3 linked regions of the Coturnix japonica genome follow. The protein of the gene in region 2 interacts with the protein of the main gene of each other region in a biochemical or structural test. Links are inferred from orthologs where the notes say so. Each region holds a gene or a part of one and is shown on either strand. Other genes may lie near its edges.

Evidence for each region.
Region 1: the proteins of ITSN1 (region 2) and DNM1 form a complex in vitro, tested with the Homo sapiens proteins (2 studies listed by BioGRID and IntAct, with this or other methods). The link is inferred for Coturnix japonica from reciprocal best matches to the Homo sapiens genes ITSN1 and DNM1.
Region 3: the proteins of ITSN1 (region 2) and SOS1 form a complex in vitro, tested with the Homo sapiens proteins (2 studies listed by BioGRID, with this or other methods). The link is inferred for Coturnix japonica from reciprocal best matches to the Homo sapiens genes ITSN1 and SOS1.

The regions. Positions count from the first base shown.
Region 1 is NC_029532.1:3,763,754-3,767,399, forward strand, and holds part of DNM1 (dynamin-1), read right to left. Parts: intron 2,808-3,646; coding exon 2,796-2,807; intron 1,671-2,795; coding exon 1,500-1,670; intron 1,357-1,499; coding exon 1,115-1,356; intron 720-1,114; coding exon 501-719; intron 1-500. UniProt on the Homo sapiens protein: Catalyzes the hydrolysis of GTP and utilizes this energy to mediate vesicle scission and participates in many forms of endocytosis, such as clathrin-mediated endocytosis or synaptic vesicle endocytosis as well as rapid endocytosis (RE).
Region 2 is NC_029516.1:94,931,993-94,935,638, reverse strand, and holds part of ITSN1 (intersectin-1), read right to left. Parts: intron 2,642-3,646; coding exon 2,482-2,641; intron 1,634-2,481; coding exon 1,428-1,633; intron 764-1,427; coding exon 681-763; intron 1-680. UniProt on the Homo sapiens protein: Adapter protein that provides a link between the endocytic membrane traffic and the actin assembly machinery. Acts as a guanine nucleotide exchange factor (GEF) for CDC42, and thereby stimulates actin nucleation mediated by WASL and the ARP2/3 complex.
Region 3 is NC_029518.1:14,500,327-14,504,731, forward strand, and holds the start of SOS1 (son of sevenless homolog 1), read right to left. Parts: upstream 2,873-4,405; 5' UTR 2,756-2,872; coding exon 2,669-2,755; intron 1-2,668.

The sequences.
Region 1 (3,646 bases), on a different chromosome or scaffold from region 2:
GCGTCATCTGAGCCCTTCAGGCTGGAAAACATTCAAGTTGACTGCAGAAACAACAAAAACATCTACAAAAAGTGCTTCCCTGCCAGTGCTATCGCAATATTCACCTCACAAAAAAGCATCTCAGTGTCCTTGATGAAGGTCCTCTCTAGCTTCACCTTGAAAAAAAACTCTGCCAGGAGAAGAGCAACTACAGGCTTTGGGCAATTCTATAGAGGGGAACTGCCTTCAAAGGTATGCTGTCAGCCTAGCCCTGTGATTTTCTGGTGACCACCTACTACTTGCAAGCAGAAGAATTATGATTGCTTTATTAAAGCTCTTGGGTACCAGGTCCTCTTCCCCCAGTCTGTGCATGGAGTTGGGTTCAGAGAGGAGGCCACTGTACCATCTGTATGGTACCTGGGTGGCCAATGATGCTCCTGCCTACGGATCAAATTCAGACAGCCCAAGGCTGAACCCAAACCAAGCATTCCACCTGCCTGGATCTGCACTTCAGGACTTACCTGGGGACACCAGGAGGAGCACGATTAGGTCGAGAAGGAACCTGAGGTGGGGGCCCAAAGGGATCAGGAGAGGCACCCGGCCTGGAGGGCACAGGGGGGGCACCACCCAGCGCCGACCCACCAGCAGGAGGTGGCCCAGGAGCTGGACCTCGAGAGCCAGGCCTGGCGGGGGGCACAGCGGGAGCTCTCCTTTGCGGCGTGGGGCTGGACGTAGGAGACCTGACAAACAAACAGAGACATTCAACTGCAACGACAGGCCTGGGATTCCTCCCCATCACTACTGATGGCACCATATGCTGCCTTTAGTGTTCCTTCTTTAGTTCCGTATCACTCTAAGCACAACTCTTGGCTTTCAAGAGCTGCGTCAGGTTTCAGGTTATCCTCAAAGCTACTTCAGGCCCCATCTAACCTAAGAATATCTAAGAGTCTGCTTCCACACCTTCTGTAAAGATGCAGCTTTCAAGGCAGAGAAGCCTCCCCACACAAATACCCACAACTCTCCATCCACAGGCAGAAGAGGGGCAGAGAATCCCCTCTGTCTCAGTGGGAGGCCCCAGCTAGCCCCAAGAGGCATCGGGCAGGTCTGCGGGGCTCTCCCCCTGAGCCTCTGGTACCTGCGTCCAGACGGTACGCTCTGCACCTGCAGCCAAGAGTCGTCCACCGGTGGGGGCATTGGGGTGCTGATAGTGCTGGTGTTGATGTCCCCGATGATGTTGAGGGCCTCTTTCAGGGCATGGTACATGCGCAGCATTTCATCACGCCGCTGAGCCTGCTCTGCTGATTCCTCCATCAGCGTATTCTGGTCGCCGCAGGAGTACAGGTTTGCCAGCAGCTCTGAATGAATGAAGTCCTTTGTCTACCAAAGAGAAGAACAGAGGGAATCAGCTGCCAGCATCTGCTAGAACGCTCCATCCCACCCCAAACCTCCTTTCAAGCTGCCTTCAGGTTTCTGCCCCCTCCCTGTTTCTCCCCATCTCTACCAGTCAGGGTGATAAGTACATTGTTTATCATGAGGTGCATGATTGTCTTCGGCATGAGGTCTCTGATGGTTTTGTTGACAATTGCCATGTAGGAATCCACCAGATTCCTGATCGTTTCCACTTGTCTCTCCAGCTGAGGATCCATGGAGTGCATGAAACTGTCTGATCCATTCTCCTCCGCTTCACTGGCCTGCAGGGAAAGGCAGAAGCAGAACAGTTCTTCAAACACCATACAAAATTACCTCTTCCATAACAGTTCAGTAAAGAAAAGGGGGAGAACATGCAGGAAGAGCATGCAAGGAAACTGTTTTTTGAGCTGTGACCGTCGATGCACAGCACAGCTTGTAAACCTTTCTCTAGAGCTGAAAAACTTTAACACTAAAGATGCTCGTTTAGTAGGAATCAGCCCCATGGAAGGTGAAAGGCATCAACTCCCAACCAATGTCCACAGGCCACGACTCCAGTGAATACCCAAAGCTGTATTTTTGACTTCTAGCATTCACAGCCTCATGGGAGGTTCTTCATTTGAGCTGTGCTTCGCACACCCAGATTCATTTCAGACCTGAGAATCACTCACCATAAATTAAGGCTCTCCTACACACTCTATCCTTATCATTATACAAACAAGAAAACAGATACGGGGAGGTGAGATGACTGCAAGCAGGAAGAATAACCTAGAAAACCTTCCAGAACATCAACTGAAAATCCTCTTCTCCTGCACAAAGCAGGAGATACTTGTCCCGTCTGCCAGGAGCAGGTTTGTCTGACAGCAGGCAATTGCCAATGCTCAGCCATTGGAGATCAATCTCAAAGCAACAGGCCAATGTTTATTACAAAGAAACCTGATTTTAAGGAAAAAGCTTTTCTTTAAACCATCCCAGTGACAGATTTGCAGTATTGCAGGAAATTGCTGATCTGCTTTTGCTTTGGGGAACAAAAGATACCAGAAAGAGCAAATTCCTTTGTCTATCTGAGCTTTCCCAAGGAAGATCTCGCATAATGAAGTAATGGAAGGCCTTAGTGAGAAACATAAGCTAAAGGAAGTGGAAATGAAGCAGGACAACTCAAAAAAAGAAGTGTCAAAAGAACAAAAATAGATTTCCAACAAGATCCAGAAATCATATTAAAAAAGGATAAATAAAAAGGGGAAAAAAATTAGGAAAACTCAGATCAAGAACAGAAACAAACAGCAGCATCCAACAGGAGGTAGAAAGAGGGGAGAAACAAATGTCTCCTGGAAAACAGTGACCAAAGGAAAAAAGAGCTAAAATACAGTGGGAGCCCCAGGAGGCAACACAGGGAGGGTCAGACTTACTTTGTCCTTGTCCTGGCAGGTCAGTTTGAGCACACGTGAAAAAAAATCAAAACAAAAAAAGGGACAAAAATGAAAAAAGATTTTTAGCTGGTCTTAGAATTGGGAGAAGATGTTAAAATAGCACCGAGCAGACAGAAAACCAATCCCACTAACAGTGTATTAATACCTAAGTGACTCTGGAAGAGTAACCATGTTATTGCTTAGCTAAACTAGAAACCAGAATGGGATGCTCTGCAAAGGAAACTGTGTTATGAGCAATAAAGGGCAATTAACACTTACCTACAGTGGTTACTCATTACCCCCTACATTAGGTTTTGAGACAGTAAAACTAGAGACCAGTGCTCCTTTGTCACGCCACTCCAATTGCACACCAATAGGTGGCACATGTCCTTTATGAATATATGTCCTAGAGCCCCAGCCTGGTTCAGAGCCAATCTGAAGTGGCTCAAATACCACATCAGATTGTCAGGAAGCACATTTTGACAGAAACACAGCCTACCTTCAAGTGTAACAGGAAAGATGGATGCAAGACGTTTATTAGGAGCAGCAGATACAAACAGATAAGCAATTATCACATTTTAAATGGGAGAACTATTTATAGCCGCTTCCTCTCACACAGTAACAGGAAAACAGGAAAAACTTGGAACAGGAACTTATAGAACAGTTCTCTAAAACACTTATAAAGCAGAGTAGAATGCTGACGAGGTTAAGGGAAGAGGAACAGGGAAGCTGGGAAGCTCCTTACAATACTGTACAGTAAATGATACCAAGCAGCAATGGTGCCTGGGCACAGCAGACACACCACATAGCAGTCATGCAGTCAAAGACCCTTAATACTGGGGATTTATTGC
Region 2 (3,646 bases):
GTTAATTTGTAAACTAAATTTAGATCCATTAATTTACTCTGACTGTGATTAAGTTAACCTAGCAGACATTGCACTGAAGTGGATTAGAGTGCCCACAGTCTGTCACCGCAACTTGTATGGAGACATTAACCTCCAGTTGAAGAGTGGTAACAAGCAAGAATACAAGTCTTTTAAAATCCTCCGGAGACCTGACAATTATCTATCTGTCTGCACCCCATATGCTCTGTCCTTAAAAATGAGGGGTAGCTTTGACCATACAGATCACAACTTTCAAATAAGGAAACTACCATCAGTTACAGAGAGCTTTAATGGAACAGTGGAAATGAGTATTGAGTGAAACTGAGACATTCATTAATAATTCCTCGCATCATGAATTACCTATGAATTACAAATAAACACAGCATGAAAGTGTTTTCCTGGCCCTCTGCAAAAATCCATTCTAAACAGTTCCACGGGGAACTGAACTGATACCAAAATATTTACATATGGAACACTATAAACTGTAGAAGAAATGTTCAAATACTGTTTCTGCATATAAAACATACACAAATTTTTACAAGCCTGATATTAAAACAAGCCTGTTTTGTTGATCCTGGGCTCATATTTTGCTAATACACAGACTGCTTACATTTAATCACATAGTAAAATAGTGCTAATGCCATCCAGTCTGGAATGCTTACCTTCACCTGACATAGTTGCTTTAGCTGCTGGTGATGCTACTCTTTTCAGACTAGCAGGACTTTCTGAAGAACCAGAATCCATGCTTTACAAGAGAATAACAGTTATTTAAGAAATTAAATCTCTTCAGAAGATGCTTAATGTATGTTAAAAATAAAACACATACATGTATCCTTAAGCAATTCCCTAAATTTTCTAATAAACAGTAAACTTACAAATTACATCTTTAAAGTATGATGGCTAGTTGTAGTTATAATTAAGTAACTGCATGGAATACACCATTTGTTGCCTCTCCTTATCCGTCAGAAGAGAAAAAAATCTAAAAACATTCTAATCAGTATCAGTGATGTTAATGCTGACCTCACCTTTCACAGAACTAGATTCTAATTGTTTCATCCTCCAAGAATAATGATAAGTGATTAAGCTCTGATGTATTGTATTTTATTCTGAGAAAAAGATAAGCTGAAACTTATGCAGCTATAACTCATAATGTCAAAATAGTAATTTCTTAGTTGCAAGCGACTTTTAATTAAGACTGCTGATTAAGCTTTAGGTCTATTGGTGGTGGTGCGTAGTACAAGGAGAAATGAGGTCAGCTTACATATTCCTCATCTGAATTTTCAGAGACGGGAATAAAAACCTAACAGAGAAGAGTCACATCAAAACTTTAAAACTCAAGTGAGCAACTTTTCACATTAATTTAACCAAAATAGTATTGAAGTAAAGTACAGTATAAGCATATACAATACCTTGTCGACTTCCTAATGGGGCCTGAAATAAGCTTCACATATGACTTAGGAAACCACCCCTTTTGTCCTTGAACTTCTCCAAACCACCACATATCTTGCTGCTCTAAAACTGTGATGACATCATTTTTGTTAAAATTAAGGTGGTTGTCTTTTTTTGCTCTCCAAGGATACAAAGCCTGTGCTTGAAGTCCCTCCACCTTTTCACCCTAATGCAATTTAGAGAAAAAAGAGAGAGAATTCAGCCTTGCAACACTTTTCATAAAGGCAGCTTCTTAAGGAGTTACATTCTTATACAATCTATATAGCCCCAAAATATGGTGACTTCTCATCTGTATAAAGCAAAATATGTCAGTCAAAATTACAAAGTAATACAAGAAACGCCCACAGCCCTCCTACATTTCTTTCTGTTAATGTGTAATCTCTACAATGCAAGACTATTTGGGAGTTTGCTTCTTCGTAAGTTCAACAATTAAGATATAGATACAATAAACCGTGACAAAGTTATTTTGAAAGAGTTTGAAGTAAATTTTATGGAAAACTATGCTTTGCTGCTAGTAATACATTGCATATTCCTACTTTTTAGTTTTGCTCAAAGACACTTAGGTATTTTGCATTTATCAGAACAACACATTAGCTTACAAGAACGATGAGCCAAGTTGAGGAAAGCACAGTCTCTTACAGATGGACTGAATTCATCTTATGTGAAGCTTAATCTCATCTACACCACTTAACCATATAATCCACTCTGGAACAAACACTGTTGCCATGTGATTTAATAAAGCCCAAAGGAAGTGATTCAAAAGTAGCACCCAGCCAAAATTTTAAGATGGGACCACTGTAGTTCAAAAAAGCCAGCAAAGAACTGCAGAAGAACAGCTGCTTGTTTGTGTTAGATTCTGCCACTGACTTTGTTAATGGGTGTATTCTAATACTTTTATCACTCTAAACTGTCATAGTTTGCACACTCAGGGAAGGATTTCAATTGTAAATATTCTCTCTGCTATCCAGAAGTTCATGCTGGCTCAGAACAGTTCCAGTGAACACAGCTGCTCACCTGACCCAATACAGGAGAGGGAGACGATCCTGTAACAGTGGCAGGGGTGAAGGCTGATCTCTGCCGCAGCTGCCCTGCACTGGGAACAGTCAAAGACGGCTGAGCTGCCCAGGCATCCCAGTTGTCTGTCTCTGGTTTCTCATTAGTGTTTGCTGGCCATCTGAAAATAAGTGAATTACATTATTCCTACTGTTTTCAGGGGAGTAAAAATGCTCATGTGCAAATAAATAAATTCAACATTCTTGGTCTATTTCTTGTAATTCAATATTCCATGAGTGATTAGCAGCTTAACTCTGCAGTGAAGGTTATGCAAACAAAGAAAGTGTTACAATAAATATATTTCTATAAGGCAATCTCTAAGAATAGTTAATTGTTCATTGGTGCTTATTTATGGCCAACCATTTCTGTAATTTAGTTTCATTGTTTAGGTGTGCCCCAGTACAATGAAAATGTTAAGTACTGCAATCTATATTACATACAGTCACTGATGGCTCTCACATGCCTCTGTGTTATGCCTCATAATGCTACTTCAAATCTTTAACTCTTTTCTTTTGCTTAAAATTATTTTCTACTGACTTTTTTAACTCTAGAGGTAGTTTTAACACTACTTCTTATCCTCTTTATGCTCTTATATTTTAAAATGTCCAACAAGTCTCATGATCTATATCTCTGCCTCAAAGTACCCTCTTAGATTATCAAAATTCAGTGAACTCAAGGAGTATAAGAAAATAATCCAACTTAAATCTTCTCTGCCTGCTTTCTTTGCCTGTTTCATGTGCTCTTAGTTGAGTAATCAGTTGTACACCTGGACTATAATAGTGCCAAAAGGCGATAACTAACAAAACTCTTTTCATGTCAGGGACAGCATTACTAATTTTATATGAAAAACATGAAAATGTGTATTATCTGCCTAGATAGGATAGGAGAATGATTCTAGTTTTACAAGGCTGCAATTGTAACTATTTACTACAGAAAAATATTTTACTTGTAATACGTTACTTTGTAATAATATATATATATATATATATATATATATATAGTGTAATTTACTTTGTAATATGTTACAAAACATTTTTCTTTTGCAATCTGTGTACTTTGTTTTAACTACTTATCATAGTCCAGTCAATTAAAAAGTACACACTTGAGGCGATAATCACTACCCAAA
Region 3 (4,405 bases), on a different chromosome or scaffold from region 2:
TGTCTTCTGATGCTTCAAAATAACAGTGACCAGGCAGAGAAGCATCTCACTGCACATCATTTCCCTCCTAATTGAGTGCACTGAAGTCTATCTTGACAGGATCTGAAGGAGAATGGGAAGAAAAGGGATTACATTATGATCTGAATGGTACAAAAGCTGCTTTTTTCAAATGCAGCTGTTGAATGCAAAGACAGCGCAGCACAGACTCCATTGTTAAGGCCCATGTCTAATGAAATACATGGCACATGCTTGTAAGGCTTCATTGACAGAAGAAGCAATTTATACTTACTACACGCTTGCTTTTGGTAACAAAAAGCACAGAATCAAAATAAGTCATTGGGAAAGACAAAACCCTTTGCAATTGCTCAACAATACCTATTTTTCAGGAAGTGATTCTAGGGGTGCTGTTCGAGCTCCACGTTACAAGCCAACATGTATTTACGAAAGAGTAATGGCAGCCTTCCCCAACAGCTGGGAATGCAGCACGCTGGTATACATGCTTCAACGTTAAACACCATTCTCCTAATCAGCAACGGTAATTCAACATAGGTCTTCCCAAGTCTTTCTTCCAGCTATGCAGAAGAACGCAATGATCCTGTTTGGGTACCCAGCAGGTCTCAAGGAGGAATTCAGAAGCGTTATCCACTACCCAGGAGCATCAGAGCATGGTCAGCTCAATGGAGGCAAGAAGGGAAAATCCTCCTTGGTTCATGACGGGATGCACATCAGCACCTGATAACCTGAGCACAGAGAGCACGTGCTGCAGCAATTTAGCAAAGGCACACAGTGCTCTCCCTCTGGGAAGGTTCTGCCCTTTGGTCTTGCTGGCATTCACTGCCACATTCTCTCTGTTTTACTGGTCCCACACACAGACTCCAGGAGTGACTTGCTCTAAGAGGCAGAGCATGGGGACAGCCCTGAGCTACCCACTGCAGGGCTGCACCTGTCACCTGAGAGACAACAGACAGCTGTCAGAGCAAGCACACCGCAGCTCTCCTGGCTGCACCTGATGCTTAGGATAGGTTTGCTACTTTATGAGGCTGTTATCAGGACTAAGCACACTAGACAAGATAACTTGTACCTGTTTAAGTTAGTAAAATGCTCCATTTGGCCTCTTAATTAATGAAAAAGCTAGTAAGACAACAGCTGTATGTTCTCATCTGTCATTTGGTTTTCCTGTAACTCCAGAATCTGGCTTTTCAGCAAGGAAGGTGACAATACGGATGGGTTCTTTATTTCTGTATTTATGGGGACAGGAGCAGGAAGCACCAGAGGACTACACTACTGGAGCATGCTGGGCAACAGCACAAGAGGAGATAAGAAACAGGTGTAAACCTCATGAAAGCAGAGGTTCAAAGCACTAACATCTGCTCGACAGTCACACATCTGAGCATCAGAGCTTCAGAACTAACTCCACCTCAGCCCAGCTGCCCCACTACCACAGAGAACACCACACCATGAAACCGAGACAACTGTACCTCATGGGCCCAGCTGGCACCCGTGGAAGCTTATCTCCATAGGCTGCTGTTTGTGACTTCTGACCCTTCTTCTTCCTTTCACCTAAACAATTCATCCAGCTCCTCCAGCAAGCGTTCTTAATCCAAGGTGTCCCTGTGAATGTCTTTTGCTCGTTAGGATGAGATCTTGTGCTCCCAACACAAAGAATAATTCCAGGCTAAATTTTGCCTTGAGATCCTCAGTTCGCGTTCTTCTCCATTACTCAGCATCAACCCTTGCTCCAAGTCTGACAAACTGTCATGCCTCAGAATGCCCAGATCAAGCTCACTCCTCTGGAAGGTGCCTGGAGGCCGCAGGTGGCTCCAGCCCCCAGCTGGTGGCCATCCACACACACACAGAGGTGCAGGGAGAAGCTGTGAGCCGCACAGTCTGCTCGGCTGTGTGCTTCCAAAGAAGTGACTACCAAGAAGGACTGAAGCACAAACACAGCACGCTACGGGGATGACAAGTGAGAAGACTTCCAGTAACTGGATGGGGCTCAAAGAGCAGGCCCAAAACACAGGGTGACATGTCACAAGAGGAAACTGGGAAGAAATGCTGCAGTGGAACGACTGCAGTGCCTGAGACCTCCAAACTGCGATGGGGAACGAGAGGTCACCCGGCCCTAGGAGCAGGTCCTTCACCCAACAGCTGCCGTTCACAGCTATGGATACACGCAGCCATAAGAAAGCACTGCGGTGCATCCAAGCACCCCCCCGCTGCCAACCCGAGGCCGGTCCGGGCGGCAGCGTCAGACAGCCCCGTTCCTCACGTCCTGCACTTCCCGGGCCCGGCTGCAGGAGGACGGAGCGGCGCTCACCGTTCCTCCCCTCTTCCACACAACGTCGGTCCGCGCCTGTCAGCTCCACCAGCCCGAGGATGACGGCGTCCTACCGGATCCTACCGGCGGGGAGACGTCGGCGTCGGGTCCGGCTCAACCCGGGGCCGCTCCGTGTCCGCAGCCCCGGCTGTCACAGCGCCGCCGGGCCCGGCCGGGCGCGCTCCCCGGGCCGCTTCCGGAGCGGGGAGAGCGGGGAGAGCGGAGAGGCCGGGCCGCTTCCCACCCCCAACCCCCCGCTGCAGGCGGCACGGAGAAAGGCACGGGGAAAGGCACGGGGAAAGGCCCGGTGCGGCCGGCAGGGCCGAGCGCCGCTCCCACTTCCCCCCTCACCTTCTTCAGGGCGGGCACCAGCAGCCCCCGCCACTTGGGCGCGTTCTCCTCGCTGAAGAACTCGTAGAGCAGCGGCTGCGCCTGCATGGTGCCGCCGGGCCCGGCCCGCAAGGGGCGGCGGGCAGGGCAGGGCGGGCCGGGCTCGGCGCGGCGCGGAGGATCGATAGGCCGATAGGCCGCGGCGGGAGGTGCCGGGCGCCCCTCAGCAGGAGGCCCGTGGGCCCCCCGCCGCCGCCGGCAGCCCCGCAGCGGCGGGGGGAGGCTGCGGCTGCCGCATTCCCCGCCCGGCTCTCGGTGGTCGCCCCGCGGAAGGTCGCGGGGGCGGCGGGAGCGGGGTCACGCGGCGCGGCGCGCGGGCCGCGAGGGGCGGGGTCGGGAGCACGGAGCGAGAGCCGCCGCCTCCCGCTCTGCACTGAGACACCGCCACACACCGACCGGCGGAGCGCGGAGCATGCGCACTGACACAACGACCGCAACGCGACTGCGCAGCACCGACGCCGCCGCCGCGGCCTCCGGGTCGGAGGTGACCGCACGGCAACGCTCCTCCCGCGCGCCGCCTGCGGGTGAGGCCGGACCGGGACTGAGCGGGCGGCCCCTGCGGGGTGTGCTGAGCAATGAGTCCATCACCTCTATGGAAACACAGGCACACCGACCTGTCGCAGCTGGAAGGGCACGCTGCTCTTTAGGATCGTGCCGCTCCCTGTCGGTCACACAGAGCACAGCTCAGCGCTGCCCTCCGCTCCCTGTGAGGAGCTGCAGCCGCCATCAGCCCCCATCAGCTCCACACTGAGCAAACCTCAGCCGCTCCTCACACAGCTTTGGCCTGCAGGACTTTGTCCATCCTTGCAGCCCTCCCTTGGGCACTAATAATTTCGTTCACCAACCAGAACCCCACAATCTCTATCAGCACAGCTGCTCTCCAGCCTCTCACCCTGCACACAGACCTTGGGCTGCCCAACGCAGCTGCAGAATCCAGCACTTGCTCTCACTGAATTCATGCTGCTGGTGATTGCCCGGCCCTCTAATCTGTCGTGATATTTCTGCAAGGCCTCTCTGCCCTCAAGGAAAGAAACAGCTCCTCCTCATTTAACGCTGTCTGCAGAATATTGTACCTTCAGGTTTAATCTGCTTCAGAGGGCGCCATGCTGGGGGGAAGCAGTCCCCGGCCCCTCTCTCAGCCAAGTGCCTACATACTGACTGCTTGCTCTGGCCCCAGCCTTGCTTCTTGAGTGGCTCATGGAGATGCAGGCAGGAGATGGCGCCTGCCTCTGGGTATCTGCTGGCAGCTTCACTGCTCCTGGGGAAGCTCTGTGGCTTGTCCTTAGAAAGACACAGGCACCTCCTGTGGGCTGAGGTCAGCGATAAACAAACACCCTGTTCAAGCAGCACAAGAACAGATTGAGGAGAGGGGGGGAAATGGCCAAGAAAAGCACAGCTATAACACTAAAGATGCTCCGTCTTTGTGGGGCCTGGCAGGGATGTTGGAAACCATCATGCCCTGTTAGGAAAAACGAGGAGTTTGCAGACCAGAGAAGCCAGCCTGCTCATAGGGAAGGTGACAAGTGTGAAACCTCTGCACGTTGCTGGAAGGATCGTTTGGGACCAGCATTTCAGCAGAGAATGGATAGGGCTCCTCAGAAAGAACTGCCTTTACCCCACAGCTCTGCCTCAGGTGCTTTTCCTCCAGCCAGACACCGCTGTCTGAAGGAGTCAGACTTCTGCTTTGAACACACTGGG